Linked DNA regions of Coturnix japonica. The protein of the gene in region 1 purifies or fractionates together with the protein of each later gene. This does not show direct contact. Links are inferred from orthologs where the notes say so. Each region holds a gene or a part of one and is shown on either strand. Other genes may lie near its edges. The genes, in order: FAM120A and RBM45.

Region 1 (15,650 bases):
CATTGAATTTTATTTCATATGATGTATATGTGATGTCACTACATCTATCTGTGAAGATAGCTTTTGTTAATTGCAGATGTGCAGAAAACAACACTGCTTCTAAATTTTATGGATGTTCAATAAAACTTGAGGCATGTTTATGTCAACCATAAGTTAAAGAGCAAGAAGTAATTTCAGTACAGTTAAAAAATCACAGGCTGTCATAAAAGTTCGAAGGAGGTAGGAGTTAGGCCCTATATGATAAAATTTTGCTTTTTTGCCTCTATTTAGAGTTTCTGTTAAGAATTTTCCAAACATGGGGCTCTTATTCCACACCTCATTCGGCTCATTTAGTATTTAAAAATCTTACTGTTGCATAAATATTTTAATCTTTTATATCTAAGTATGATCGTGAGCATCGGTGCTAACAGTTACAGTTCCTAGTGCTTGATCAGTTGCTTGTCAGTGAGATCTATGACAGACTGTGACATACAATTTATTTTCATTCCTTCTCAGACTTTTATTATGATGAGACAGAATGGTTACTCTTCCTAAAAGAGAAGCTTTACTAGTTCACCAAGTGTGACGTGGAATAAAATGACCAGTCTTCACTGGTGGAAAATTGGCTTGTCTGGCAGAGAGTGGAAATGAACCTAAGTGTGACATGGCAGCATCTGTACCTGCCTGTTATTAGGCTCCAACAGCAGCAACTGTGAAATTCTACTGACAAACTTAAATGAGATTACTTGAAATTGAAATGAGAAGAGTCGTTAGAATTCCTGAGCAAGAACTTGGCTGCGAGGCCTGGTCTGGAATTGTAGCATTGTACTGTGTTTTATTTGTGTGCTTCAGGATTTATTTTGAGAGATCTAGAAAAAAAAATTGCTTCCCATTCTGGAAAGCTTGCTGCGGGCTGGAGCTTCAAAGTCAATCTATTTTTGCAACAGAGTTGAATTATGAGGGACAGTTCTCATCTCTAGAATGAGTTGGTGTTGATCTGGAAGAGCATAGCGTCAAAGAAATGCAAACTTGTATATACAAGGGAAAGGTAATCTTAGAAACAAGCCTTGGCTAACTTGCCTCATTGGAGGAAGAAGAATATGCAGTGAAACTATGTGAGGTGGATGTCTTCATTTGTGATGGATTATCTTCCTGTTAGGATGGATTTGAAAGGATGGATTTGCTGAACTCTTCGGCAAGTCCTTGATATGCCCACCATACAATTTATCAAATCTATTTTTACCCAGCAAAAATATCTGTCTAATCTCCTTGGCTGCTCAGTGGAGGGACAAAAAGAGATGTTTCCAGAAGACAATCCAGAAATATGCAGGTTAGACTGCTTCTGTGAATTGCTCCGGGTTCTTGTCTTTCTCCGTTGACTTCAGAGGATGTCTGCCAGAGGGAGACTAGTAAGCAAAGTAGGTGCTTGAAGTGCTACAGATTAGATGCTACTTTTAAAATATGGTTAAAGGGTTCTCATGCTGAACATGAAGGATCATCACAGTGGTGAGTCAGGCTGGAAAGGGCCTTGAGAGGTCATCCAGTCCAAACTCCTGCTCAAAACATGGTCAATTTGAGGTCAGAACGGGTTGCTCAGTGCTTTACCTAGACTTGCCTTGAATACCTCTGTGGTTGGAGATTGCCCAACTTGTCTGGGCAGCCTGTTCCATAGTCTGACAATCCCCATGGGAAGAATGTTTTTTCCTGGCATGTGAGCTTGACCCATCTTGTGTCTGTCTGTACCTTTTATCTGTTGTCCTTCTGCAGTGCATGCATCGTCTGGCTCCATGCTTTTGATAAGCTTTTAGTGGGTATTGGAAGGCTGCTCCAAGGTACCCCCAAAGCTTTGCCTCTGCCAGGCTCAGTAAGCCTCAGTCCCTCAGCCTCTTCCGATAGACCAAGCTCTCCAATTCCTTCACAGTCTTTATGGCTTTCAACTGAGCTTGCTCAGCTTTCTTGACCTCTCCCTCATACTGAGAGCCCAAAGCTGAATGCTCTGTTGGGGAGGTGATACAGTGAGCTCCCAAGACTGGTCAGCTAGCTGTATTCTTGGGATGCCGGCCTGGTGCCAGCTGGCCTCTCCTCTCTGCCTTGCTGACTCACCTTTGGCTCGTCTCAGGCTTTCACAGTGCAGCTCCAGCTTGCATAGTGACCAGGTGCAGTGCTTGCTTTTGTACTTGTTGATTTGCTTAAGATTCCTGGTGGCCTGTTCCACTCGCTTGTCTAGGTCTTCCTGGATGGTAGCCCAGGCCTCAAGCTCATGCTGCTGTTTAGGAATGTCATGCAGATCCTCTTATACCCTATGTGTCTGTGTCATCCCTTGAGTTTATGCTTGCGCTCTTCCCTTGTATGTAACTTTCACAGGCCAAGACAAGATGCAAACAGTTTGCACGGGATCTCGGTAGAAATTACTACACAAAAATAAGAAAACACAGATAACTTGCGTTCCTCAGGTCTTCAGCCTTTTCTCTTACCTATGTATAAAATGTTCCCTGTGCATCACCTCACAATAACTAAGCAGTCAAAGTCACTTTTTTCAGTGGTTTGAAAATAAATGTGAAATGATAATATGTTTCCAGCAGGCACAACAGTAAGCGCTGGTACTAGTGTTGATTAGCCTTTAAAGGCTTTGTGGCCAGGAGATGGTGGCAGCTCTTGTTTTTCCAAGCGTAGCTTAAGTGCTTCCTCCAGTATCCTAATAATCCAGTGGAGTTCCACATATGTGAGCCTTTTTCCTTCTGATAACGTAGTTTAGCAAGTTGGTTTTTGTCAAATCCAAGGCTTTTTAAAAAGATGTTATCTTTAAGTGCAGCTGACAGCAAGTCTGAATCATTAACAGGTTTCCTGTAACCTGCCTAATAAATGCTGAAGATTTATCTTACATTTTAATTCACACATGATTAGAAACTCATTTCTGATCCAGTGCAAAACTGAAATTTTGGGTTGCTGGAAAGTTGTAACATGAAATCTTAATAACAGGAAAGTTGATCTCATTTCTCCGCTTCTCTGTTTTGGCTTCTGTGGGAGCTCACAGGACATTTCATTTTGAAGGTGTTCTCACTTATGGGCCAGGAATCTTCTGAAACAAAGGCAAAGAAAAACCAGATGTCTGAAATGTCTCAGAACCTGTAGTGCTGTAAATCTGTACTTCAAGAAGGTCTCACATCAGGAGTTAAGAGTGTGCCCCACTGCAGTCCTCAGGCTGTTGGTTTAAGAGCAGCTGTGGTACGCATAGTAAGCCTTAATTCGTCTCACTTGAGCTTTGGACCTGCACGGTCTGAGCTGAGTGTCTCAGTATCTTCTCTTGATACTGTTTAATGTTTTAAGAATATTACTATCTTGGAAATGACATCAACCTGAAGATACTGCTTATTCTCTTTGCCCTCTGAATTTTGAAGCAGACGTTGCAGGAACACTTAGGCAGTAAAGTGGGATTTCTCCAAGGTGCTCTGCAGAGAGCACATCTAACATGACACAGCCATGTTGTGATTCAGCTGCATTAGAAATGTGCTGTTGTTATGTGTACAAATAAAATGGTAGGTGTTCCTAAAACAGCTTAGATTAGAGAAGCTATTTCTTCTGTTTGCAGATTGGAGCAGAATTCCCTTATCAATCAGTATTTTTACCTGTAAGCTTATGTGTGAATGCGATCTGTGTTTGGGATTGTTCTGTACATTCAGATTGCATGCTGCTGGAAATTTAAATTTACTGTCTGCAAAAATAAAAAGAATAATTAAAATAGCTGCTGTGCCACTGACTAAACTAAATCTGACTGTTCTTTATTCAGGCTTAGAAAATGTAGGGCTCATCCCAGGCAGAGAATGCCCAGATAGAGAATGAATATCTTGACACTTCTAGACATGAGGGGAGGAAAATTAATACGAATGGGAATCTGAGCAAAATTTCCATGGTCTAAATATTAAAGATGTGTAAGAGTGCATAATAAATGATCCAACACAGGCAGAGGAGAGAAAGTAATGTGGTAGACTGCATATGAAATAAAGAGGACTTGTGGATTTCAAGTTGCAGAGTGAAACCTAGTGAAGTGTTAATAGGAGTTTTGCATAAACGTTTCTGACAAGGCTGAATTGCAGTGTTTTTAGTAAAGTATGGTTCCTCTGTAGAACACAAGCATAAGGATTTTTTGCCTTTTCTGGTATCTAAAAACTAGAACTCTTAAGCAATAATTGTGACCTTTCAGATCTTGAGTCGCCGATACATTTGAAGTGGGCAGTTAAAAGTTAAAAACCTGGCTGCCCGTGGAGCTACTGATAGAGTGCTCCGGAATTGTACGAGGTTCCAGACAGACATCTTAACAAGCTCCTTAGGCATTCCCTGAAATGTAGGGCATGCAGTCAGAGCTGAGGCCTTTCTTCTGCCCGCATTGTGCAGAGCAGTGGGAAGGCAGCAACCTTCCTGCAGCGAGCAGCTCTTGAGACGCAGCTCTAGCACAGCTCCCAGCTTCTCAATTCACAGTGGGCTGTGGTGGTTGCTTGTCCTGAACTTCCCGTTCGGGATCATGCAGTACATATGAGAGAGGTAATTCCCATGATCATATGCTGAATAATCCTCAGACTATTTTCAGGATGCTAGATATAGAGGAGCCTATTGACAGAGTTGAGATGGAAGGCCACGGTTTCCAGGGCTATCCGGTTTCCTTCCTTTCTCCATGTGAACACTGGAAGGGTTCAGGCCGAAGATCTGAGTCTAAAACTTTCTGGCACAGCAGCGGAGCCATCTGCAGTTGTCAGCTGCTGAACTGTGGGAGCTGCAGCGGCTTTGGAAGTCATCCCATAAAGTTCTTCCAGCTCTTTCTTCTTACTACAAACAGAGTTCTTGTGCTGTAACATCCAGAGCGATTCTTATCTTCTCAAACCCGTGGCCTGAGTCGGTGACCAGTGAATTAATGGGAATTCATTATTTTCCTAAGGTCTTGAGTAGGCTGTACTCTGGGTTCTGTAGACAGAAATATGTATGGTCTGGAGTGTCATAAGCTTGAGGGAGATTTTTAGCACACTTTTACTTGCATGTTTCTTGTGCAGTCAGAACAATTAGTCAGACACACCTGACATCTGAGGATAGAACATTAATTATTTTCATTCTCTCTATATAAAATGCATACGTTTATATTATTAAAGAATTTTTTTTTAGAGGAAATGTCCAGCTGGAAAACAGTGTAATAATTAGCGTTCTTGACCTTGCCTGTTGTTGGATCAGGTACTTAAGCAGCAAATATTTACATAGAGTTGAGGTTTCTATTACATACATGTAGATGCATATGTACATGTATATACTGTAGATGTGAAATACACAAGTCATCATTTAACTTGAAGTTTTGAAAGCAAGGTGCAAAGCCCCAAAATGTTTAGTTCCTAAATCTGTCAACGTAGACTTTGTTCAATATATTTTCAGTAGACAGTTGGGTTAATTCTTTACTGTGTAAGTGAAGGATCTTGGGCTACCCTGTTATCTCATGTCAACGTGTTTATTTTCATAGGTACGTGCTCACCAGTTAGTTTTACCACCTTGTGACGTAGTGATCAAAGCTGTAGCTGACTACGTCCGTAATATTCAGGACACCACTGATTTGGATGCCATAGCAAAAGACGTTTTTCAGCACTCACAGGTAAAGTATGAAGAAAATATTGTTTGTTTGTTTGTTTTAAACAATTGCGCCTTATATTCGCATTGCACAATTGCATTCAGTAAAAGTAAGGTCTTGAATCAGGAGATACGGGAATCTGTTGTTGTATGCAGTGTCGTAGGTACCCTAATGTAATTGTCTGCTTTTTTGAAAGAAAAAATTATTACACATAGTCACAGTGCTTTGAAGTTTAGTTCTTGATAACCAAAGAGGTTTTGTAGTCTGGCTTTGTGTATGTGAAGATATGTAGTGTTTTTCAAGCTTTATCCTTACAGGGGCTGACGTAGTGTTTTTGGTGAGGGTGAGTCTCTGTGGCTCCATAGGCATTAATGCTGTATGTGATAAATCACATATAGTTGACCGTAGTTGACTACTCTGCAGTGCTGTGCTTACCTGTAGATGCCATGCCTGGATCTGATCCTGATAGATATTTCTTTTTGTATTTATTTATTTTAGTCTAGAACAGATGACAAAGTTACTCGATTTAAGAGAGCAGTTGCTTATTACTCAGCAACTAATAAACCTATGCCATTTCATCCACCACATTACATAGGTAAGTAATTAAGAAAATAAAACTTCTCACTTTAACTAAAACCTGATGTAACCCAAAGTTATTGTTGTAATAACCCTCCTTTATTATTAGGGTCTTATAAAAACATACACTCAGGCAATATTCATTAACATTAGAGTACAATGTTACAGAAAAAGTTCTTTGCAGTGGTTGTTCTCTTCTACTAGAAAGAGTAACAACCTAAACTTACTTTCCTCTTTAGCTGTTGCTGAGTCAGGGCTAAGCATTAGGTAGCATCAGAATGTAGTGCTGGCAATGAGTGAAAAGCAGTGTCTACTTCCAGTCATGAAGACAATTTCTTTTCCACAATACATTTCATACTCCTCACTGAACATACCTGATGTTTTTTATAGATCCTTTCCAAGCCTTAGGTTTATTTTGATGTCCTAACACATGTGCTTAAGCTATAGAGACTAATTGATACCTATCTCAGGTTGTTCCAAGGTTTACAAACTAACCTTGTGACCATAGCACTTAGCACATATACCTCATTCTTAACATTAAAATCTTAATTGGAGCTGGAATTTTCCAAAGATTTTGTTTCTGTACTGGTATGCTATTACTTTTGTGGGTTTTTTGGTCTTTTTTTTTAAGCTTTCAAAAAGTTACAGTGAAAAGTGTATTAAGGCTATGCTAGATCCAATATTCAAGTGATAGAATGTGCTGGTATTACGTGTATTTATGACGTTGTTTTTTGCCAGCTGCTTGCTTATCACATCTCTTGGGCTTTTTTTCTTCAAAGCTTCCTTTTGTTTCCAGGTAGAATAAAATTATTGTGCAGTAGGGAGAGAGGAAAACAGTTGAGAGGATGTGAGGCAGGTAAAACAGACTTCACAAGCTACAGAATATTTCTATTACGAGTTAAAAAATGAATGAAATTCACTTAAGGATTCACATAGTGGAGAACTGCTAACAGAACAAGAAAAAATAAACCATGAAAGCAAAAGGAAAAAAAAAACGGTAAAAACTGTGTCAAATAAATAGTGAGCGTTTTCATGAGTGGTTTTCTTTTCCTCCTGTTTGTTATTTCTCCTCCCCATTTGCAATGCAGCAGCCAGACCAAATCAGTTTGGAATGCCTGGGATAGTGCCACCATATGTTCCTTCTCAGATGCTTAACATTCCACAGACCTCACTACAAGCAAAACCTGTGGTAAGTGTATCTCTCTGCCCTTCTCCTTGAGAGAAACCTATCATGCTCATTGAATTAAAATCTAGGTGGGAAAGGCTATGTCTCACTTTTTTAGCCTGTGTGTTCACTGATTACATTTTCAACGTGGAGCTATAAAGATGAATGCCCAAGGTGGATGAGATTTCATGTGCACATTAGAATAAATAATATATGCTTTTGTTTTTGGTTTTCTTTTTGAAGTGAATCCTTATAGTTACCTTTATTTATAAACATTGCTGTATTTTAGGCCCAGCAGATGTCCAATCAGGGTGGTGCCCAAGGTCAGGGTCCGTACCCGTACAGTCTCTCTGAGCCAGCCATCACCTTGGAAACAGGTGGAAAAAATCTTTCTGAGCAGAACAACTACAGTAACATTCCTCATGAAGGAAAACATACACCATTGTATGAACGATCTTCTCCAATAAATCCAGCTCAGAGTGGGAGCCCTAATCATGTGGATTCAACCTATTTTCCTGCTTCTTCTACATCATCCTCCTCCGACAACGATGAAGGCAATGGAGGTGCAGTGAAGTAAGTTGTTCACAAGGATGTTTTTCTGCTCTTATTTTCAAAATCGTTCAGTATCCTGAAAGTAACCAAACCTGCTTATTAACGATGTGATAGGCTGTCAGAAAACAGTGTTAGGTCACTATGACTGTGAATATATCCATGGTTCACTCTTGTCGCCTTGTTCCTTAATGAGCAGGAATCCAAAACCAAATAACGTTCAGTATTTTTCCACTTCTGGTCTTATGTTTTATTGAAAGAAGGAAGGAGTGAGATTTTGATAAATGTCATAAAACCTCCCCGTTCTTTTCTTTGTATCAAAGAAATACTGCCTCACATGCAGTTCATTAAAATTTCTGTAGCTAAGAACTGGTTTGCACTTCCAATATTTTGGGGTAGTGTGGTTTTGCAGAGACACTTGATGTGAGTGTCAGAAAGCTGAGATGCTGTGACTTAAGAGCTCTCATTGACAGGCTATGTATATAACTATGCTGCAGTGAAATTGGTTTTGTTCTCCTACTAATGCGCTTTGTTTACCGCAGAAGTGTTTTAAGACTTCCACTAGATCGTATGTCTGTCCTTGGCAATAAAGTTGTGCAGACTTCCTTGTAATTACTGCTTACTGACCTACAAAAAGGAAACGTGAACAGAGGCAGTTTGTGTTCACCTTTTGTCTTGCTGGGTGTAGTAGCTTACAATGTGAGAATCAAAACCTGTGGCTTTAGCAGGTCTGTGATAGCCTCTGAAGGATTGTGTGTCATAGTATAAATACGCTTCTACTTGATACTGAATTCTGAACATATCTACAGTTACAGTGGTTTGGACTTGGTTTTTCTGATGCAGTCTGTCAACTTTAAGTACGTTATCATGTGTTTTGCAGTGCGGAACTGGAAAATTACCCCCTTTACACACATATAAAGTATTTTTCAGTGTTTTTTCTTATAGTACAGTTTTATGGAATACATTTTGAATTAATTTGGAAATGGAAGTCTAGGCATTATCACTGTTTGCAGTCTTCTGACCAAGGGAAATTACTTGGCATGGTGACAGGTATTTCAGGATCAATCAAGAATATTTCCTGCACGAACATTATTTAGTCATTGTAAAGGATTCCCTGTTACTTTGAAATATGATCCAAGTATTGTTATAGTGTAAATGAATAAAAGTAGGGATCTTGAAGGAACTTAGATATCTATGAATTGACGTTTTCTAATACGCAGCGTGCCTTAAAGTCCTCTCTGGTTAATTGTTGGATTAACAGCAACCAAGGGTTCATTGCATCTTAACTGGTACTTTAATGCTGTTTTTTTTTTTTTTTATGCTATCCTTCAGCCATGTCAGTGGGAACAAAATCGGCTGGGAAAAAACAGGAACCCAGTCAGAAAGTCAAACACGTGGAGACCTGGGAGACCAAACAAAGGTAATTCCTTCGGAACAATGGAGTTCCATTCGTGTCACATAACCTACATTGTAGTGAGGGCAGCTCTAACACAGTATTTAAGCATTAGCTATGGGCTATTATGGGTGTATTAAAGCTCAGATGAAGAGTGGAAGTCCTTTACAAGTGCTTGCTAAGACTTGCACTTAATGTGTTGAATAACTCCATGGGACTAGCTACAATGTATTGCTATTTAATTAAGTGAAGGTGGGATGATTAAACCATTATTAAAGACTTAACATTATCTGATTTATTTATTTTCTTCCAGATACAAAATCATTGTCAAATGAAAAGCGTGATGATCTGTTTCATGACTTTGAGCTGTTCTTAGAATGTTGTGATCATTTGCATGCAGTACTTGTGCATTTTTGTGATGGAGCTGTGCTCCAGCCATTGCTTTTGTTTCAAAAACAATTAAATAAATCAAAGCAAAGAAGAAAACAATCCTAAATAACTTGTGCTGTGGAAGAACAAAGCATTTTCCCTGTACCTTTCGTATAGAAATTCCAGTAAATTTTGGCTTCGTGCTTAAAATATCAAGCTGATGATTTCATCCATCGGTGCTTATTATTTTTGCAGACTACGCCCCGCACGATAACTGTATCTGCCTGTGGATTAGTCACCATATGCAAATGCTAATGTGACCTATTGCATTCCTTTCTTGTCTGTGCCATGGCCATGCACAGAGCCCGGCACACCCAGGCTGCAGCCCTATGTGCACAGTGCTGCCCTGCAGAGCAGATATGGGGGCGGCTGGCAGGGCACTGCTCCCCCAGCTGGGTGATGGCCGGGTGGGACGTGCTGCAGGGCACAGCTGCCTGCCTCTTTGTACATGCAGAATTAGGGCTGTGTAAGCAGTGATTCAACTTTCCCGGAGATGTATGCATGCAGTCCGACTTGAGTGCAACCAATTTAATTTGTTTTACTTACATGCTTTTCTTGAATATCAAACCACTTCTTCAGCCCTCAGTAGCAGAAGGCAGTTCCATCTCTTGAGTACACACTACAATGCATTCTGTACCACAAGCTTTAACCATTTATTCTATATACTATCACTTTCCTAAATTGAAAGTCTGGTCTACCAACTCCAAAATATAGTCTTATAGTAACGTCCTCTTTTATTGTGTGCTTAAATGTACTCTTAAAATACTATTTCCCCATTGGCTGATCTTCTGTATGCATTAAAAAGCGCTTGATGTTGTGTGTTCTGTTATAGGCAGAAGGTTCCTCTAGTGCTTCTTCAGGAAGTCAGGCAGCCGATGTCAAAGGGAATCAAACCAGTAATCCACAGATCCCATGCCTGTTGTCAATGCCCACCAGAAACCACATGGATATTACTACCCCTCCATTACCTCCAGTAGCACCTGAAGTATTAAGAGTGGCAGAACACAGGCACAAGAAGGGGTTAATGTATCCCTACATCTTTCATGTCCTAACCAAGGTATGACATTTTAAAACTATGTGCTATAAAATAACCTTTTGGTAAAGATAATTGCACTTATGTATCTGGCTAAATAATTTTGTACTTTTACATCCTGTTTTAAGTTTTGAGTTTTGGTCTGATTTTAGTGTTTCTAGCACTTTTTTCACTTGATTTTTAACCACTGATCTGGGCTGACATATTGTTGCTGTAGGTATGAGGTGACTGTTACTACTGTTTATTTTAAAAAGACAAACAAACCAACTTCTTTTGACTTTAGTATTTTATTTTGATACTTTTACATACCCATGTTTGTGCGTGTGTGTATGTATTAATTGCCCATTTCTAGAGTGTGACATGTGCTTTGGTGTTTCAGTATTAAACAGTAATTAGATTGTTTTCCCTCATAATATAATCCTTCCTGTCCTTAGTAGCCAACCCCAATAAAGACACAGCATCTGTGATAAATCCCTTTTGTTGAATCATAAAATGCAATTGTAGAACTTGATGATGCTATGAGTTCTTTGGTCACTGATTTATTTTATGTACAATTCTTGAGATCCCAGGTAAGCTGCAAGCACTTCCACACAGCTTAGGCCGCTTTCTCTGCAGTATGTTGGGTTTGGGGGGGGTGGGAAGAAGAAAAAAGTCTTAAATCCGTGGCCACATAGGAACATCTTGAAAAGCAATGGGACAGCTTCTTGCCAAAGTAAGTAGTGGAAGGAATCACAGCAGTGGAGCAGCTGTGTTCTGCACAGCCCTGTGTTTGACTTACTTGAGTTCCAAAAGAGATGAGTTCTCCTCATTGTTCCTTCTGAGTGCAAACAGAAGAGTCCCAGAAGAAAACAATGAATCCTCTTCCACTGTAGTGTTCGAAGCATTTAGTACCGGTTCCTGTACGTCTGGCCCATTCACTGTACATACTTGTACAGCAGAAGGGCACTGTCCACACTGCTGGTCATTTGCATTAGTCTTAAAAAATCCATTTCAGGCCAATAAGGACAGTAGACTGGAATTTGAAATGCACAGAAGGAAAGGTTTGGGTTTCCTTCTATTGCTGTCATGTTCTTGTACTTCCCATGTTTATCAAAGAAAAGTGCAACAAGGGAACTGTGAAGACCATTGCAGCTCTGTTTCAGAGTTTGTATAGCCGTAAACTCTTAGTACATTTAAATACTGCTGGACGTTTCCTGTCTCAAAATGAGAAGAAACTAATTAAACACCTGAATGTTGGGAATTTTCTCCTAGCAGAAAAAAGAAATGAATCTAGAGACTGTCACAATATAAATCAAATGAATCAGTACTGCTTTTTGGTTTTATTCATCTACTACCTGAAATGTTTTTTAATATTTCACTGGCGGACCTCAAGTGTGCCAGAAAAAATGTTGACAGGTTCCTCCTTGAACGGTTTTGAGATGCTTTAGAAATTGGCACACAAAGATGTTCTGTGTTATGCTGTTGTTAAACATATAGAGAAACTTTTCACACATCCTTTATAGCTAACTTAGTGTTGTCTGTATACAAGATAAACTCTTTTTTGTAGTAATTCAACCATATATCTAATAGTGCAGATAAAATAGAGATCTTTATGTAACCTAAAGTGATACAAAAAGGTCGAAGCATGCTAGTAACTTCTGTGTAAATATACACCTACAGCTGTTTACAGCTTCCACCAGTTTATGCATTTTATCTGGCTTATGTTGATTATAAAGGCTTTTGAGCATACAGAGTGCTGTAGTGCTTCCCTGTATCTCATCCCTTTACTGGAGAGTTTATTTGGGAATATCATCAATGTAAGAACAACACTAAAGGAAGCCACATTGATGGTGAAAAGGATGAGGTTTGTTCTTAAGAGAAGTTTCTTGTTGAGGTCACTGATGCCAGAAAAAAAGAGAATGTTGAGTAAGCTTTTAAAGGTATTGATTCTTGACACCTTTACCAATAGGAATGAGTAGTTTTCCAAGAAAAACTGAGCATAGTTGGATGCACATATACTGAAAATACAGAACATTGCTGCTATTTTAAGAGAGCTGGAAGGTCTTTTCATGTTTTGTTTCTGAAAAAGAAAGCATAAAATGCTTTACCCGCATCTAAAGCAACATTACTTACACAATCCCCAGTTGCAGTTGTTTGGCCAGGCCTTCTCTTAATGTTATTTTTCACACTGAATCCCCCCCCAGTACTGTTTCAGATCCTTGCACCAAACCTTCCAACTGGTGTTTTTAGGCAGCGTGAATATTTTTTTAATGACTATGTTCAATCTAGGCTGATTTTTAGCATTTAATGTTCAAATGTGCTCTGAGTGTCTTACTTCTATAGGCACGTTACGTTATTGTCATACATACTGTTTTGGTCCCAGAAGTATCTGTATGTAAAAATCAGTATTTAGATAATCCAAACAAAAAGAACAAGTGTGTGGTGGGGAAAAAAAAACTGCATAAGTGATGGGAATAATCAGAGCTCAGAGATTTACTGGCAGAAAGGAAGTAGATTGCAACAGGGTAATCCTTGTCTGGAGTTACCTTCACATGCATAAGATCCGTATTATTGCTGAATCGCGTCCTTGACAAGGTGGGATTTGCTTTAGAGCTTGATTGAGTTACTGAGCATACCTAAATACTTCATTTTTGCTCACTCTAACGTGTCATGTTTTTCTGATTTCTTTCATGGAAAAGGGTGAAATCAAAATTGCCGTTTCTATAGAAGATGAAGCCAACAAAGACCTGCCTCCTGCTGCTCTGCTTTATAGGCCAGTTCGTCAGTATGTTTACGGAGTCCTGTTTAGTTTGGCAGAAAGCAGAAAGAAAACGGAAAGACTCGCTTTTAGAAAGAACAGACTTCCACCAGAATGTATGTACTGTAGAATCCATTCTTTATTGCTCTTCCCCTCTGCTATGTTTCCCTTTGTACTGTAATTTGAATGAGAATAGTTAATAAGGTTTCATGAATGTAGCTATAGAACTGGGGGAATTTGTGGCTTATTTGATCCGTGGATAATAGAAGATGTTTTGAATTTGAGATGTTGTCTCTTGAAGCTTAAGAACTTTAAGCACTACCCTTTTCTAAGCAAGTTCCGGGGTTTGTTTTTTAGTGTGTTCAAGCTGCTCTCAGGCTTGAAGCAAATAATGTTATTTGATGGAATTTTCAGCATACATGTCAGATCCTGATTTGAGGAAATTTGTATTCTGAGCAGTTCTATGCAGTAACTTTCAAGTGCTGACATAAATATGTGGTTTAAAATCTGCAGAAATGAGGTGTGATTGTAAATAAAAGCAGACTAAACCTTTGTGAACAGGCTTGTCAAAAGATCTTTTTGCTGATTCAGTCAAAAAGACGAGTGTTAATCCTTATGTTAATCTGGAAGTTATCTTCTTAAGTTTTCTGCTTCTAGGAATTACTTCCAGAAAATTCAGTCCACTCATTCTGGAGTGTTTTACTTATTTATAATGAAATGCATGCAAGGAAATGATTGAACTTTACAGTAGCATCTTATAAAGGTTAAAGCGGTGCTGAAGCATTAAGTGGATAGCAGCGGCAGAAGTACGTATTCATATGTAGAAGTCTACTGTCTGTACAAAATGCAAAAAGCAGATATTGAGAATGTCTAAAAGCATTATTCACAGCCTTGAAGTATAAAATAATATTCAGTTGTTGTGTATATTCATGAGGAAAGTGGCAATCTGCCAACAACAATTGAAAAACTTCTACTCTTAGTTATGTTGTGGGAATTAATATTCACTCCATTCAGTTGTCTCATCACACATTGTCAAAGGCTTAACTCTTTTAACTCAAATAAGAGTATTTCAGGTTGCGAGGTTATTTCAGGATTAAAGTAATGAAGTTACTTACATTACCTATTTGCCCTCATTAGAGTTTTGTCCTTAAGTGTACTACTGCACTTGTAGTAGTGAAGTAACTCACTACTGAAGGTCTGCTTTGATTTTTCAGGATGATTTCTCCTTGTAAACCTGGAATGTTCTCTGTAGACTATTGGGATACCCATCTAATTTGTCTTCTAATTTATGCTGCTTTTCAGAGGTTTATTCTCATTGGAGACTAAGAAAGCTCCTGCTAACCTTGTTTAGTAACAGCAGCTCCAGCAAATACTATTGCAGGACGCATTCAGTTACCTGACCTACTTCTATTTTAGAACTGGCCATGCTTTAAAAGGGAAAAAGAAACCAACAAAAATTGGCACATCTGCTCAAACATGAGTAGTTTCAGCACAAAGCTACAATCGTTGGTAAAGGTAGATTTTAGCTAAGACAATAGCTTGCGGTTTGAAAGGGAGTAGGTTACAGGAATGCATTTAATTTGGTCATCTCAGTTACAAAACAGCAAGAACTGAGCAGATTGTGCAGGGTACAGAGAACAGCATCCTAAACAGCAAGAGCTGATTTCTCAAATATCCTGTATCACACTCAGTAGCTCCTACTGACTTCTCTTAGGGCTACAACACAGGCTATAGTGAACAGATGATTGTGATTCTGCTTTTATTGCTGCTCTCTAAAAACAAGTACATATGAAAGAGTAATTGGCAGAAATCAGAACAATCAAGAGAACTAAATTTCTAAATGATGTGTGTTGTCTCTATGTTTATGTAGGCAGTTGATTCTATTAATACATCAAAAATTCTGTAGTTGTACAAACCATAGCACTGGCAACATATTGTATGTAAATAATTTCCAGGTTTACTGTCTGTGAGGATTAGAGGAAGCTGTGAAAAGTGCAGAATAAATTTGGGGTGTCAGTACTATTACCAAATACACAGACAGTAAGAGAATTGACCTGTCGTCGAATAGATATTTTCTGTCTTTTAAATCATGATTATTTTTATGCAGTTGAAAAGTCAATTAGAAACAACAGATCTGTTAGAAGTAGTGAGGCTTTTTAGTAGTAATTGCCTGCTAAGTAACGCCTT
Region 2 (16,161 bases), on another chromosome or scaffold:
AGAAAAACTTTATTTAGTTGTCCAGCGTAATATGGGGCCTTCTTGTTTGCTTAGCTGTAACCAAATAGCAACAGTTTCAGTGGGTCTTTGAATAACTAGTTGGAGAAGTGTGCTCTCTGCTTAGGGAAAGGAACAGTATTTTCTGTGGCATACTCCATAAGGATGTATGAAAAACATGACACAGTCTAAGTAATACTCACCTCTTGAAGCTGTTTATGAGGATACAGCACCTTGAACCATGCTTTTATTTGATTTTAAGGCCCTAATGAACAATAACTATCAAAACACTATCAAAACACTAAAACTTGACATAGCAGCCCATCAAAATTCAGAATGTTTTTTTCATTGTCATTACAGCTACAGCAGCAACGGTTCACAAACAAGTTGCATTTTTCAAGTATGTAATAAGATCAGCTCTTTCATTCTGCTTTTTAATTCCAGCAAAAATAGTTTTTTTACCAGGAATGTATTTCTTAGGGTTTTCCAATACTCCATCGGTGCGCTCTCACTCCAGGTGAACATAGTTCCTTTGAACTATGTAAATATCTTTATCATTTCAGTATTTAGATGGCCAAACTGCAAATGAGTGTACACAGAGTGTATATAGATTGTTGTTTTAATGAAAGTTGTGGTCTGCGAAAGGACCTTAGAAAAAGTTACCAATGTCCACTCCTGGATTGTCGCAAGAGAATTTGAAAAAGCATTAATTTTTCCTTTCAACCTTGCTAAGTTCTGCCCATCAGCAGAAGCCTGCTGTTGTACAGGAGACTACTGAAGTACCTGATGATAATGATCTGCTCACACTTATGCACAATTGACTCAGATATCATTTGGTTGGTTTTCTTTTAGAATTTCGTTCTAATGTTCCTATCCTTAGGACTTTTTACTGTTTGTAATTACTTCATTTGAACATGGTTTAGATCAAAATAATATCCATTCAAAAGGAAAACCTGAAAAAGAATACACAGACTTATTTTCCATTTGTAGCTGTTATGTTGCCTTTCAAGACTGTACTAAAATACACGAGGCGAGTCATTGCTTACTGGTAGGTGATGGTGTTTAGTCAAGTATTGCAGAGTAAAACAAATGCAGCACACCACAGTGTCAGTAGAGGGTGGTGACGAGCAAACAAAATCCAGAAGCGTCCTTAACAGAAATGAAAATTTGCCCATAGATACTGCACAGTTCTGGGAAAGCTGACCTGGCGTAATAAATAGTGGCAAAATTTCTTTGTAATTTATAGGCTGAGTAATTTTGCTTCTGAAATTGCAGTTTAGATTCATTTTACGTTTACGCAAAGCAGATGCTATGAGAGTAACTCACTGTGAATGAGCCTCAGTGTTGTATGTAAGGAAAACTTGTTTTCTTTACCCATGTATGTTCCATGCAGCACCTCGTGTCACGTTGCTTCACCTTTCTTCTTGTTTGCCTCTGAGTAGGGAAATCCTGCACTTGTCCTGTTCTGCAGCCAAATAAAACCCCAAAGATTTGGTCCTGTCTCGTGCTTTCCACCTTTTTCAACTGTGTGGCACTGAGGACATCTCTGAATAAAGATCTTCTTGCCTTTTTCAACATCACCCATTTTGCACTACGTAAAAGAAAAATAACAATAATGGAATGATATTATAGACAAGTCCTCTCACGGAGAGATCTCCTCGCCTTTTCTCTGATTGGATTTTAGCAGACCCGAGGGGCGGGACTAATCCCTCCGCCCTCCTATCCAGCAGGCGGTGCGGCTCTGCGCGCTGTCCCAGCCGTACACGTAGGGACGTGGCGCGGCCATGTTGTCTCCCCGGCGGAAGGAGCCGAGCGGCGGCTGTTCGCCCAGCCCCGAGCAGAACCAGCGCTCCTCTACGGCCGCCATGGAGGAGAGCAGCGGGATCCGGCTGCCGGCCGAGTGCCTGGACGAGCCGCCCAACAGCCGCGTTTTCGTGGTGCTGGGTAAGGACGCGGGCGAGGCGCTGATTCGGGAGCGTTTCGCCCCGTTCGGGGACATCCAGAACATCTGGCTGCTGCGGGACAAGCGCACCAACGAGTCCCGAGGCATCGCCTTCATCAAGTTCGCCCGCAGCTCGCAGGCCTGCCGGGCTATGGAGGAGATGCACGGCCGTAGCCTGGTCCCCGACACCAAACCCATCAAGGTACGGCCGGGCTGAGAAGCGCATCCATCGCGGCATGGGGGGAGGGCCGCACCCAAATAGAACTTTCTTTACAAGAGTGCTTTGCATGGGTTTTGTATCTCGTGTACGAGCTTCTTGCATTTTTAAATCTATGGAACTTGATGGTAGGTTTCAGCCTCTTGAATTGTTTTTGTATTCCTCAGGTAACTATAAAGTGTGAATGACTTTGAACGTTGAAAGAAGTTTCTGTGCACCTTACTGTGGGAGAAATGCACTTTTTTTCTTTCTTGTTAATACTGTCCTACCAGGGCTACCCAACTGCATTAGAGCAGATGCCCTCTGTGTCACTGGAACAGGCTTTAATATTCCTCGCCATGCTGCGTTATCCTTATGGGGTCTTGTGCTGCCTTCTGTCCTGCTTCAGAAACCACTTTGAGTGTACTGTTCTTACAGGTCTTCTGTTGCAGTTGCATCTGTGACATGTTATTTTACTTACTAGGAAAACTATATAATGTGGATGAGGAATACAAAGATTTGCTTAAAAAACTAACTTGGCATATGGCTAGGACTCTTCTTCCAGTAATTAATGCTTATGTAGTTTTTGTTAGGTATTTATTGCACAGTCAAGAGCTTCTGGAAGCCACCGAGATGTTGAAGATGAGGAGCTTACACGAATCTTTGTTATGATACCAAAGACCTATACAGAGGAAGACCTGAGAGAGAAGTTTAAGGTGCTGATTCACTGTTTGCTAAGGATTTTAAATTAGCTTTTTTTTTTTCCTTCTTTTTTTTTTTTTTTCAAAAGAGCTTAAATCATAGAACTTTAATGTCTTTTAAAATATTGTGAATTAATACATTTCTTAATCGTTCTAGATGTATGGAGACATTGAATATTGCAGCATCATTAAAAACAAGACTACTGGAGAAAGCAAAGGTTTGGGCTACGTGAGGTACTTGAAACCATCGCAAGCTGCCCGAGCAATTGAGGAGTGTGATCGAAGTAAGAATCTCAATGAACTCATTAATATTTTTCATGATAAATGTGTGCCATCATACCTTTAATTTTTATTTTTGTTTGCATGTAAATTATTTATGGTGTAAACACATCTTGAGACAAAAGTTGTGTTGCAAATAAAAGGGGTATTCCTAATATTCACCCAATAATGTTCTTGCATCACCAGCCTGTGGAAGGAAGATCAGTGAAAAGAGTGTAGAAGCTGATAGTGTTTGTCTTAAATTAGGTGGTATTCTCATTTGGACTTCATACGCAGGACATCATCATTTTTAAGAATATATGGGAATATGTTTTTAATCAACTATATATTATATATGTAATAATGCATTTGATAATCCATAAGGATTCTGTTAGGTTTACATTTAACCTAAATTTGTTCATTTGCTCTTAGGTAATTTAAGTGTTTTTCCCTCCCCCTCCTCCCCCCTTCCATTTAATATCAGGATGAATGTATTGTAGAAACTAAGTCTTTGTCCACTTCATGATCAACCATTTGCCATGTATGCCCCGGTACCAAATAGTTGTTAAGGAATTGGAATATATCCATTCTCTAATGACTGGTAAAGTGCATGACCTGTGAGGAGAGGGCTCAGGGACTGGGCCTGCTCAGCCAGTAGAAGAGAGGCTTTTGGAGAAACCTGTCAGCAGTTTTCCAGTCCAACCTCCTTCACTTACTCAATATTAAACACTTCGGCATGTAGATTTAGGTTTCTTGTCACTGTTTTATTCTTTTTGTTGTGTGGGTTTTTTTTTCTCATTTTTGTTTAAGTAATATGCTTGATGTATCATAAGGAGTTCTGAACAATTGTTATCCCTATGCAAGAATACTCACAAAAATGAGTGATATTTATTAGTAGTTAAATTTTATTTCCTTTCTGATTTGAGTTTGAAATGAAATGGATTAGGTGGCCTAAGAGTTAATGCCTAATCGATTGATAAACAGATCATAGATCAGCACAGAGCACTCACAGGAGTGACTGTTATAATTCTGTGGAAGTTCAGCTGATTCCCTCTGGAGCATCTCCAAGTCCTGCCAAATATGGTTGAGGTTGGAGGGGACTTCTGGAGTTTGTCTTGTTTGGAAGCACAGCCAAATGGCTTTGAATATCAGTTAGGTTATTCACAAGGACATGCCCCGGTCTTTTTAGGTACTGGTGTATGGTCAGTCTCAGAGTAAGCAGGCTCACATGTGTGATGGTTTCTTTCAGGCTACCGAGCCATCTTGGCTGAACCAAAAAACAAGTCATCCGAATCTTTTGAACATGAATATTATAGCAATAACGTAAGGCAAGAACCAAGAGGAAATGTATTTCCATTTTGTAAGTCACAGTTTGTTTTTTTTTTTACTGAAAATTATTTGCAGTCTAATCACAATCTAAGGGCTGTTTGGAAGAAGGCAGTCTAAAGGAAGCCGAGTTTGACAGCGCAGATGGGATGTTTGAATTAGAAATGACTTGGGCTTTTCTCTCCCATATTCTTATGACATACTTTGGTCTAGTAGACTGATTATTTCAAGACCTGCATTCAGGAAATACACGTATCACTTATGGTGTATAATTCGCTTAGATTGCTTCTAAAATTTGAATGAAAACTATATATGAATTGAAGGCATAGTTAATATAATGAGTTTAATTGTTTATTTTTGTGTTGATTCTTGAGGTGCTCAGCCAGAGTTCTGTAGTTTTGAAAAAAATGAGACCAGAATTCAGGAGTCAGTCTCCAAACGTCTGTCAGTGGTATCACGACTTCCTTTTATCCAAGAACAGCTGTTTGCCCTCTTTGATCTGATCCCAGGCCTGGAGTATTGTGATGTTCAGCGTGATCCTCATACTAATAATGGTAAGAAAAACTACAAAAGTGTTCTTTCTTCTATGAAGAGAACTATTTTTTTTTTTAATTAAATTGTACCTCAGTTCATTTGTACTGCAAAATACAGTAGTTACTAGAAATAATTGGCTTTTTTTTGTGTCAGTGGTGTGTGTGTAAATGAGTGAGTAAATGGAATGAAATCATTACAAAACGAAACTTCTTTTGTATTGAAAGAATTTTCTGGTTTCAGTATTCTTATTTTTCTATAGATGAAAAAAACATTAAGGAGCACTGTGAGGTGTGAAGTGGAAATGATTCAACTACATTGTAACTTTACAGTACTACAGTTGGAATAAGTGTGTTTTAAGATGATCCCTCTGACTGAGGGTTAGGCAAGAAGACATGTCTTATGCTGCTGTATTATCAGCTTTTCAAATTGATACAAGCACAACTGATTTGTCACTAGTTAATTTCACAGAAGTTTATTTCACAAATATTAATGTTGCTAGTAAGGAAAGTACTGAAACTAATGTAAAGAGACCAAGAATTCTGGAGCATCTATGTAGTTTGATCCTACTTCTCTATGTAAGTGTACCTTGTTCTTAAGAATTGCTTGTAAAGCACAGGAACCATGTGTGTTGTATTTGTAGGTTATGCTGTGATTCAGTATAGTACAGCTGCATCAGCTATATATGCCAAGTATAAGCTACATGGGTTTGAGTATCCTCCTGGAAACAGATTAACCGTCATTTTTCTAGAAGATGGGAATGATAGTTCAGAGTAAGTATCAATACATAGAAAATTTGGTAAGTTGTGTTCTGGAGAATGAAACTATTACTGTTTAACAATAAAAAGTAGCAGCAGTGTTACTAAATTAGTTTCACACTTGATGTGAGTTTTTTTTTCTTTATTTTTTTGAAGTTTAGAATGAGTATCTTGAATTTGAAGAAAGGTTAACATATATTCCTAAGACATGATAGGATATTTGGCAAGAATCCTTAAAGTCCCCTGTAATATGGAATGTGTTTCTAATGTGTTTGAGGCTTTATATTAAAATCAGATGTTGCTTATTTGATCTGCTGGCAGTGTTTGCAATGCTGCAGACAGCCGTGTGAAACACATGGGCAGAATAAAGCTGAGGATCTGATTCTTCCACTTGTATATGGGTTGCCAGGTTTTACTTCTACCAGCATTCAGATATGGTTTGAAGCTGCAAGTAAACTACATGCTTTCCTGTAGTGAATACTTTCGATTCCCTCAGGGAAGAAATCAAGCTATTTGAGACCTCAAAGCTGTTCTGATGTACAAAAAAACAATACTGTGCAAAACCACGATGGGAAGATTCACTGCAGAAGTGTTATGCCTGATCTAAGCTTAAAAAAAATAATTCATTGCAAATATCCTTTTTGCAAAGGTTGTCTTTTGTGGCCTTAAAACCTAGGCTGTGAATCTGTGCAAATGTGCAATTGCTATTCTTATCCCCAAGCAGAACAAAGGAAAGAATACTGAAGAATGAGAGTTGGAAATGAAGTTCCTGTGTTAATGTTCTGAATTGAATCCTTGTGCTTTTCTTTCTTTTAAGAAACAAGAGAAACTTCTGTCTCTTTTGCCACCTTGGAGCCTTTCACATGAAGTTAAGGGTTGTGTTGAGTTAGTGCTTCTTTTTTGTTATAATATTGGGAAAAGCCAAGGGAGTTTTGTTGCTCTGAGTATTTTCAGTGAGTTTCAGGTAGGATGTTTGCTTTCAGATTGAGTTTAGAGTGTCATGCAAGCCTCTTCTAATTATGTAGACTCAAGTGAGTTTTATTATTATTTTTTAATCTTCCTGTGTATCTAGGAAGGTTTATATTTTCTTCTTGCTGAAGTTAACTGTAATGTAGTTCTTGCTTTAAAACAGCCTGTTATCGCTTCTTGCAGCCTCATCAGAAAAATGGCAACACAACTGGTAACAGCACATATGACCTCAGTGCTGCGAAATAATAACGCAGTTGTTCAGCAGTATAGGACACCTCCTGTAAGTTCATGTGATGGATGCTGTTGGTAGTTGTTGACTTTGAATTAAGAAACTCCAGATGTGTCAGTAAAGAGCACAGCCTGCTTTCTTTTGTAATAGCTTTAGGTGCTACGTCTTTGAGAAATAACTGGTTGGTGTGGGTGGGTTGTTTTTTGGTTCTCTTTCTCATTCTCTTTGAATGTCTACCTTATTGGAATGTGTTATTCCGTCTAATGAAGTAGGTGAAGTAAACTAAGTAATTAAAATTCAAGTTAACTGTTAGAGGCTGTGTCTGAATAAGCCTGTCTCATCTGAATTAGATGAAATGATACTATTTTTCTCATAAAAATTGACTTATAGTTGAGTTACTTCTCCTGTTTCAGCAGGCATTTGGAGGAACCTCTGGCTCACCGTTACTTCAGCCCCAAACCGATGCTATACTTCCACCACCCAAAAAAAAAGTTCCACCTGACACTTCTGTGAAGGAAAGGCTTTTTGTACTTTTTCATCCTCATCCCTTACCTGTGACTGTATTGGAGGATGTTTTCTGGTAAGGCTTCTTATATTGATAAGTGTTTTCCTGAACTGTGGAATAATGAAAATAAATGCTGGAAATTAAAACAACAACAACAAAAAAAAAACCGAACAACAACAAAAAACCACAACAATTAAAAATAGTAGGAATGAAACAATATGCACTTCTGTTAGAATTCTAAGGTGTACTTTATTTTATGTACTGGATTTTCTAGTCTTGGTACTTACATAACTTGAATATGAATGAAATAGACTTCAAACTTGTTAAGGTACTGTCTAGGAATCTCCTGAGGATTTAGATTTTCTGTGAGGCTTTAGCTTTTGCTTTGTGAGTCATTTCAGCACAACCTTTTTGAAGATGAATCACAGCTGAACAAGTTCATTTAAATGCGATGTGAATGAATTGCCTCAAATGCCTTTGCAATTGTCTGGTGTTTTTCTTTTGGTGGTGGGGGGGGGGGGTGTTTTTTACTCGTTTAGTATTTACTGTGTGTGACTATTTCATGGAATAGCTTTAGTGATCCTAAAGGAATATGTAATACTTGTGCTTCTATTGCAGTATTCTGTAGAAGACATTTCCTTACAGACCCCTGGGCTTATTTCTATTCTTGTGCAGAATTCTAGAATAGGGAATGAAAACTAGGACTTTTCAAGGAGGATAACACAAGATATTAAGGTGTATGTGCGAAAACATAGAATTTGCAGCTACTGAATTTTGTTGAGCTGGGATTAGATGATAAGTGTCAGTGCTGCAGCAAAACCTGTCAACTCTCTCCTTTGTTGCTGTTATTTTTTTCAGCCGTTTTGGAAATTTAATAAAAGTTTACCTTGTGGCTGGGAAAAATGTGGCCTATGCAAAATTTGCCGACAGAGCAAGTGCCAGTGAAGCCATAACTGCGTTACACGGCAAGATTGTGAATGGTGTCAGACTTAAAGTAAGGTTGGCAGACTCCCCCACAGAGGAATCTAACAAACGTCAGAGAACCTACTAAGTAGGTGAGTACCCAGTTGGAGTGGTTGCTTAAGCTGAAGTTCAGCTATTTGAAATAGTTGGAAGCAAAGAGTTTTGAAATTTTGTTGATAGCTAAAAATAAATTTAACTTAATTGGGGGGTGGGGTTATATGGTTTGTGTGTGTGTATAATGTATGGGTGTGTATATGCTTATACATGCACTTTTATTTTAGCAAAGAAATCTTTATTTTTTTAATGTTTCTACAAATATGAAATGATTAACAGTCTGGATGTTCATTGAAACATTCACTTAATGTACATAAAAGTATCAGGTCTGACTGAAAGAGTATTGGAAAAATAAACGTTGTAACTGAGACCAGCTTGCGTGTGTCTTCCTTTCATTACATACACGTGCCTTGAGCATGATGTTTGATAAAGATGCAGAGTTTGTCCCTGGAAAGGACAGATGAAGGAAGGGGTGTAAATGTCACAAAGCAAGACCAAAAAGGCAAGGCTTCAGTAATTTGGGTAATCTGGACTCTCAAATATCAGATGCAGCTGGAATGTGTGGTGGTGGAGGTGTATATTTAAAATATGAAGTTTAAATATTTTAGTTAATTATATGGCCAATAAACAGTGTCAGAGCTCATATATGGAGGTTTGCAACCAAAGCTCACTTGTTCTTAGGAAATGTTGGTTTGATTCAAATGTAAATATTACTTTAATACCCATTATGGGTATGGTTCTGAATCATTTCAGTAGCTGGTTTTCTACTGTTGGGGAGAAAACAAAAGAAATCCAGTTGTTTCTTTTTCTTCCTTCCCTTTCTCATTCTAAAAACATCACTTGAAATCCTAACTGTCTTCACATTGGTGTTTTACTTAGTGTCACACCTTGTCACTGCAATGTGTAGGTGTGTTCTGTGACCTGGGAGTTAGAAAGGCCAGAAAAAGATTTCACCTGTATGGTTCTCCCTCTTTTCCTAGGGAGTCCCATGTTTCTCTTTTGATAAGCGTCGGTTTCTAAAGGTCTTAATACTCTTCATGTACAACTTAAAAAGAAACAAAACAAAAACTAAATATGTCTGCATGGAATTGGAGCTAAAACTCTTTTGAAGCTTAAAAATTGGCAGGTCCAGTGAATGTAACTCATACCCATGTTTTTATCTTTATTCACTAAGTTCTTCTTTCTTAAATGTGATTATTATTTTTTTTTTCTTTAAACTTCTAGTAATAAAGGACCAAACCTTTCTGTCACTACAGGGGAAGCTATGATTTGAAGTGCAATGTCGTATCAATTCTGTTTTGACTGGAGGAAAACTACTTTATAGAATAGAAGAATAGTTATGATAAACATCCAAAATTAGTAGTAAACCTCAGAAAATGTTAATTCCTCTAAAAAATAATAATAATAATAATAATTGCAGGCTGCAGTTGTTTCCTGAGTGAAGATGATAGATACTGTCTGTTACTTGTAAGATTTGCTTTCTGTAAAGTAGTGTGTGAAAGTGATTTTAGTGTTTTCGGGTTAACTGCTTACTATGCAAAGAAGTTAAGAGTTGAGAATTCTTGGGTTTAGTGAGAAATTTCTGGATGTAGGAGGAGGGAATGTTCGTGTTTTGAGAAAGTATTGCTGTTTGTGTTGTAAAGGTTATCTGACTGAATGATAAGAAGACAGACCAAATAATTATTTATAGTCTAAAATCTCAGTTTAGAAGGATTGAGTCTGAAGACATGGATCAGTCTTAATCTATGAATATGCTCAAGTAAGCAAAGAGAAGAAGTGTGTTTTTTAATTACTTTTTTTTTTTTTTTTGGTGGGAATATATAGGATCCTGTGGCAGGAAGCTGATGCCAGATGTATTCACCTGATGTAGGGAGCCTGCTTTGGCAGGGGGGTTGGACTTGATGATCTTTGGAGGTCCCTTCCAACCCTTACGACTCTGTGATTCTGTTTTCACAAAGTAGAAATAAAGACCTGGCTCTTTTTAATGGGGACTGTCTGTCAGATGACTATATGGGGAAAAATCAAGGAGGATTGTGTCTTGATTCCAGTCTAACACTATTTATTTTTGTGGTTTGGGGTGTTTAAAATCTGAAACTGAATGCGTAATGGTGCTTTCTGCTTTAAAATGTCAATGAACTTGGTGTTTTATACTGTACTGCAATACAAAGAATGGATGAGAGTCTGTCATAGATGTCACAGACAAAAAGTGAGTACAGGGTGGAAAGCTTTGGTTATTACTCCAAAACAGTGGACTTTCACTGGCTGCAGAAGCTACTCTGTCCACTGTATTAATAGTGGGTGGGGTATCAAATTAATAGCTCTACTCTCCTGTTTTTTCTTAGGGTAGTTTTTTTTAATTACTGAAACTAAATTGTCATCTTACCCTCTAATTTTCCTAATGCTGCTAACATAAAAAGCGTAACAACGATTCTGCAGGTTTGCAAATTCAGTAAGGGTTTGGTTATTGGTGAAGGTTACTGAGATAAGTGAAAGGAGTACTTGGCAGCCTTCTTACTGTTGCAGAAAATGTTAATAAACAAAAATTAAGAATTCAGAAGATGCCTCTTATCACGAATCCCTGAATTGACTTGAATTTGTTTTTATTTCTTAAATCTTTCTCAAAAAAACCCTTCAAATTTAATGTTCGCATGATGATTTGCTGCTGTGCAAAAATATTTTAAAATAGGAATTATATGAAAGTTGAGAGATACACCAAATTAATAATTTTTCAAGTACTATTTATCAGCTGTGTACTGTAGAAAAATTGCTGACTTTCATGCAATGTTCAGAATGAGACTTTTTCTTAAGGAAAAAAAACAACAACAAAAGGACAAATGTGTGATGCTTAATGTTATTCTTCTGAATGTGTTAAGAGCCCTTATCACTTACGCTGTTGTAAAGCCAATAGGTATGTTGCTTTTTGATACTTTTTTTGTACTTGTGTTTTTTTCTGCAGAACTAAATAGTGACATGACCCTCGACTGACTGACTGACTGAAACGTGACTAGACATGGTTCCTGGGGACAGTGACATCCTTTTTTCCTTTTTTTTTTTCCCTTTCCTTTTGCATTGTTGCTCTGTTGATGTCGTGCTTTCTGTTTTTAAGAAGTGTGAACATGCAGTTATAAAAGAATCCAGCAGTTTTGAAATTGTATACTGACGATTGTTCATGTAGAATCCTGTTTTCTTGTATTCCAGAAATAAATATCTCGTGCTAAACTAAGCTCCACAAACATGGAAAATGCAGTGATGAGAGTCAGGTTTTTGTGGCTTGACCTGGTTAATTGATAGTGAATCAAATTGTAACTATGCTATTCTGAAGGCACTTCCAGTGACCAGAATGCATTGAAGTAAAGCAGTAAATTGAAAGAAAGCGAAAGAACTATTTCGAAAACTACTAGCATATTTGAGAGTATTAAGTCAGATTTGATAGAAAAGCCATACTCATGAAAGTGATTCAAGTACACTCTTGAATATTTCACTGACTTGAGCCAAAAGTATTCGTTATGCTTTATGTGCTATTTAGCGTAAAGGGCATTTGACTGTGGGTCAAGCTATCAAAGCTGCTTGCATTTATCATTTTCTTGAGGTTCTATCATTGTAACTACAGAAAAATGGAGTCTGGGAGTTTTCTTTCCCAGTTTTTCTTAAGAAGCTTCCAAAGAGTACATTGTTGAAGAACTGGTTAATTGAATAACAGTTTAGTATTTCAGCAAGATGAAGATGATTTGAGCACTGCTAAAGAGTAAACGAAGATAATTTGAATAAGTATTTGCAAAGATGATTGTCAAATACAAATACTTCCTGAATGTTATTTGTTGAATTGAAAAATGTTGGTTATTAAATGTTCACAGATAAAACTGAAATTCTAACTGCATGCACACTGCTGTACAAGCACGCTCTTTGTACCTGGCTTCCAACTCCTCCAGTGCTGATCCCTTGATCCTTAAGTGGGGATAAATAGCTGAGCATCCACAACTTCCTCTGTCTTTGAGCACTTTCAGAAAGATGTCCTTCCAAAAAGTCACCACCCCACAGGTAGGTGAGAATGTAGTTCCATGACTGATGTTCCTGGGATGAATTTGGCATTTGTTTCCATGTAGCTCTCTGAGCTTTAGTATCATTTTACCCTTTATGGACTCCTTGCTGCCTTCTCAGTCCCCCTTATTCTTTCCAAGACAAGAATAGTTGCTGACAAGAAACTTTTCCAGCCTTCTATGTCGTGCTCCAGGCCCCTGACCCTCCCAATTCAAATAGCCAGTGTGCAGAAGCATGCTGTCTTTTAAGTGATATTTTTGTGTCTTAAGTTATGCTTCTACCTGTGGTAGATAGCCTCCTTTTCTTGTTTCCTTTGTTCTTCAAAGAGCAGGAGGAATTAAGGTGTTGGTAAATATCTCCAACTGAGCTGAGGACTAAATCCTTTTTAAATCTTTCTCTGCTGTTTTACAGTATTAAAAGGCATATACCCATAAAAATTCTTTCCAGGCAGGAGGTTGCTTGAAGGGGAACACAAGGGTGTGAGATGCAGAAGAGTTTGATACGGTATTTTTAGCTGGAAAAATGTGCTTACTCAAAACATACAACTTCATCATTTGCTGTTTCACAGTCAGCGGTCTTGAAATACTGCCGTAACAATAATGACCAAGTCCTCTTGATTAGCTTTCTAGTAGAGTAATGTGAGTGGACCTACTGTAGGATTAATGCAATTCATACTTAGACAGTGCAAAACAGTTTCTATGCTGTGCTATTTTCAAGTGTTTTGCGAGTTGTTCTCTTATGCAAGATGCAGGCATGTCAAACCTTTTCTTTTTAAAACATGTGTTAAGAGTACCAATATTTTTACCTTAGGGATGGTAGGTAAGAATGAGAGCTGTTGTTGCAATTGGTTCAGCTACCATTTTGCTGGGGTTCCTTTGGAAAACTCCTGCATTTTTGTTTCTTTTTCCTTTTCCTTCCATTTGAGTAGATGTGGAGCTTTCTTGGGTTTCCTCAGGGGAGCAGTGCTGACCAGGATGCTATACGTCTAAAACTCTGGAATTGTCGAGCAGTATCTTTACAGACTTAACTATGCTGTGTGTGTGAATGCAGTAAGGTCAGTATTTTTGGAGAGCATCAGTTCTGCTGTGCAGATATGACAGTCATTCTGTCCTGTTGATACAGCAGCTCTGGCATGCTGCTGAATGCGCGTCATGCAGTGCATCTTTGCATCAGGAATAAGCAAGTGGTGATGTTCTGTGCCAGTGTAGAAATCTTTGCAGTACATGTGCAGAAGGTCCAGTGGCTTATTTTTTGCTTTTATTTTATTTTTTTACAAACTTGAACTAACTATTTGTGCTGCTACACAGGCACTGAAACTGAACTTTTTGCTTCACAAGACTTTTGCTCTTTTCTGCTACCCAAATAGAAAGCTTGGATGTAAATTGCAGGAATGTGTTTTTCTTTGCTCAGTGCAGCTGATTAGGAACTAAGTAGTGTTTGAGAGGATGTTTTAAAGCACAGCATAGTGATGTGCATGTAATGTAGGTGCATGCATAATGTTGAAGTAGTGGGAATCTCAGCCAGCACTTTGGGTTGGATATGATATTCATTATTCCCTGTTTCAACTGTTTTGTAGCACTGCCACTAAGTAGCTGTCACGTTGCTTTTCCAGGCCTTTTCATCAGAAAATGATAATTCTGTCTGCTGAGAGCATAAGCTTTAGGTACTGGAAAAAGAAACTGTATAATCTATATCGCTTTTGCTGGTGGTTATTGAATTGGCAAGAACTGCATAATTTTGGGGGGGCTCTTTTGCAGTAATAGCACAGTAATGGTAAGTAAAATTTTTCATGCTTATCTGTAAATGACTTGGATTTCAGCAGTGTTCACCAGCTGTAGTTTCTGCCAGCATTTAACAGGGCATTTGGTCCTTCAGCAATTACACTCAATGATATCCACTGGAAATTTTGTCCATTTGCTGAATCTTACCTGCATGGTCTGCAGGAGTGCCTTTTGCTTGTAACTGTAGAAAGATACTAATTTATGTTGCCACGATGTCTACATTAAAGTATATCTGATCGTTAATTGAAACAAAGCTGTTCTCAAGAGAGCTGTTTTGACAGTCTGACTGCAATTAGTTTCCTCCACTGGGTCTTCTGCCTGAGACCTTTTCCTTTGGTGGTAGCGAGGTTCTACTCGAGTACCTAAAATGGGAGCAGAGCCCAGGCTTGCAATGCAAAGTGGAATTGGCTTTCCCTTGCTTGCTCCCTCTCTTCCATTTAATGGTTCATTTTCTGTCCCAGGGTATTCAGTCACATTATTTCTGCTCTGTCTGCAGAGAATACTATCAGATGTCTGCAGTGCTAGATTACTATCTCGGTATGTGAGAGACAAAAAGAAAAATAATAACTGTGGAAGTGGGAGCAGCTAAACGTGGAAAAAGCATGTGGCTGTGTCCAGTTTAAGAGAGCATTGCATGTTCTCAGTATACCACTTCTCTGTACTTTATTTGTTAAATGCTTTGTCTGAGACCCTGCCGTAGTTATTCATGGAATGTCACATTAAAGTTGCAGTTATATTGATAAAATGCCTGCAAAACAAACTCAAGAAGAAATTATAAGTAAAAGGAAGGCTAACTATAGTAAGTTCACTGATTGGTATAGCAAAGGCACAGTCTACTGCCTTGCTAGGTAATTCCCACCCCTTTTCCAGCAGAGGTCACTGGTCTCCTGGATGTACCTACGTACATAGGATGCAACTTAAAACTGATGCTACTATTGAAATTCTCAAACTCCCTTCTAAGATAATCAACTAAAATGTAGTATTTTGTGAAGAAAGGGCCTGTATTGTTTTCACAGATTGAAATACCCTCAGATGATTCTCAATTTGCAACACGATTCAAAACCCTGTTTGGCATTCTAATTGAGAAGGCAGAATCCTAGTTCAGCTTCTTCCTGTGAATTACTTTGTAAACCATCTTTCTTCACAGCTGCTTATTTTTGAAATACAAATAATCTATTTTTACTTGTGTGAGTTTCATGTGTGTATTGGACTGTTTTAACTTGCTGTTTCATACAGAGGCTTGTTGTACTTTTGCATAATTAGCCTAATAGTTTTAAAACTATTGTTGAAGTAGGAAAAAATACTAGTAAACACCCAAGAACAATGTATACAGAACACATCTTTCTCTCATTTCTGAACGTTTCTTAGTATAAATTTCTCAGTAATAGATTGAAGGAGGGAATGAGGCAACAAAATAGAAAACAGTCTTAATTAAAGAGATAAAGCATGGGGTGATTGCCTTCATTTCTCTTTGCAAAAAACAGGTGAGTACAAAAACCAAATATTAAGATGGAGAGAACTGTGGTGATAAGGAAGCCAGCTGCTCCCTGATGTTGAGTACAGGGATTTTGAGCCATTTGGATGGGTAACTTCATGAATGAACAACGGAACCTTACAGGTTTCTCTGTAGTATGTTCAGTGTTGTTTTATTCTTTCTCTTAAAATATACAGTGTGACAGCTGCACTCACTGTATGGCGTGCCACTTGCTTCTCATAAGCACTTACTTAATATTACTACACCAGGATTGTATTTAAAGCCATGTCTGTAATTCAAAAATGTGTGCTTTCTGTTAAGCAATTATGTCTTGGGTAACTTTGTTCCTCAGCTGTGTGGTGCTTCTGTTGCTTCTTCTGGCACTGGCAGCCCAGCCCGTGGCTGTAGCTGCCTTGAGCTCATTGAACAACTTATAGCA

The links.
Region 2: the proteins of FAM120A (region 1) and RBM45 purify together in Homo sapiens (co-immunoprecipitation; 3 studies listed by BioGRID and IntAct, with this or other methods). This does not show direct contact. The link is inferred for Coturnix japonica from reciprocal best matches to the Homo sapiens genes FAM120A and RBM45.

What each region holds. Positions count from the first base shown.
Region 1 is NC_029527.1:4,464,206-4,479,855, reverse strand, and holds part of FAM120A (constitutive coactivator of PPAR-gamma-like protein 1), read left to right. Parts: intron 1-5,476; coding exon 5,477-5,605; intron 5,606-6,079; coding exon 6,080-6,176; intron 6,177-7,245; coding exon 7,246-7,346; intron 7,347-7,611; coding exon 7,612-7,895; intron 7,896-9,203; coding exon 9,204-9,291; intron 9,292-10,525; coding exon 10,526-10,750; intron 10,751-13,404; coding exon 13,405-13,579; intron 13,580-15,650. UniProt on the Homo sapiens protein: Component of the oxidative stress-induced survival signaling. May regulate the activation of SRC family protein kinases. May act as a scaffolding protein enabling SRC family protein kinases to phosphorylate and activate PI3-kinase.
Region 2 is NC_029522.1:13,802,317-13,818,477, reverse strand, and holds RBM45 (RNA-binding protein 45), read left to right. Parts: upstream 1-1,741; 5' UTR 1,742-1,781; coding exon 1,782-2,141; intron 2,142-2,728; coding exon 2,729-2,851; intron 2,852-2,993; coding exon 2,994-3,120; intron 3,121-4,343; coding exon 4,344-4,454; intron 4,455-4,794; coding exon 4,795-4,974; intron 4,975-5,594; coding exon 5,595-5,724; intron 5,725-6,861; coding exon 6,862-6,958; intron 6,959-7,320; coding exon 7,321-7,487; intron 7,488-8,270; coding exon 8,271-8,463; 3' UTR 8,464-8,467; intron 8,468-11,385; 3' UTR 11,386-15,576; downstream 15,577-16,161. UniProt on the Homo sapiens protein: RNA-binding protein with binding specificity for poly(C). May play an important role in neural development.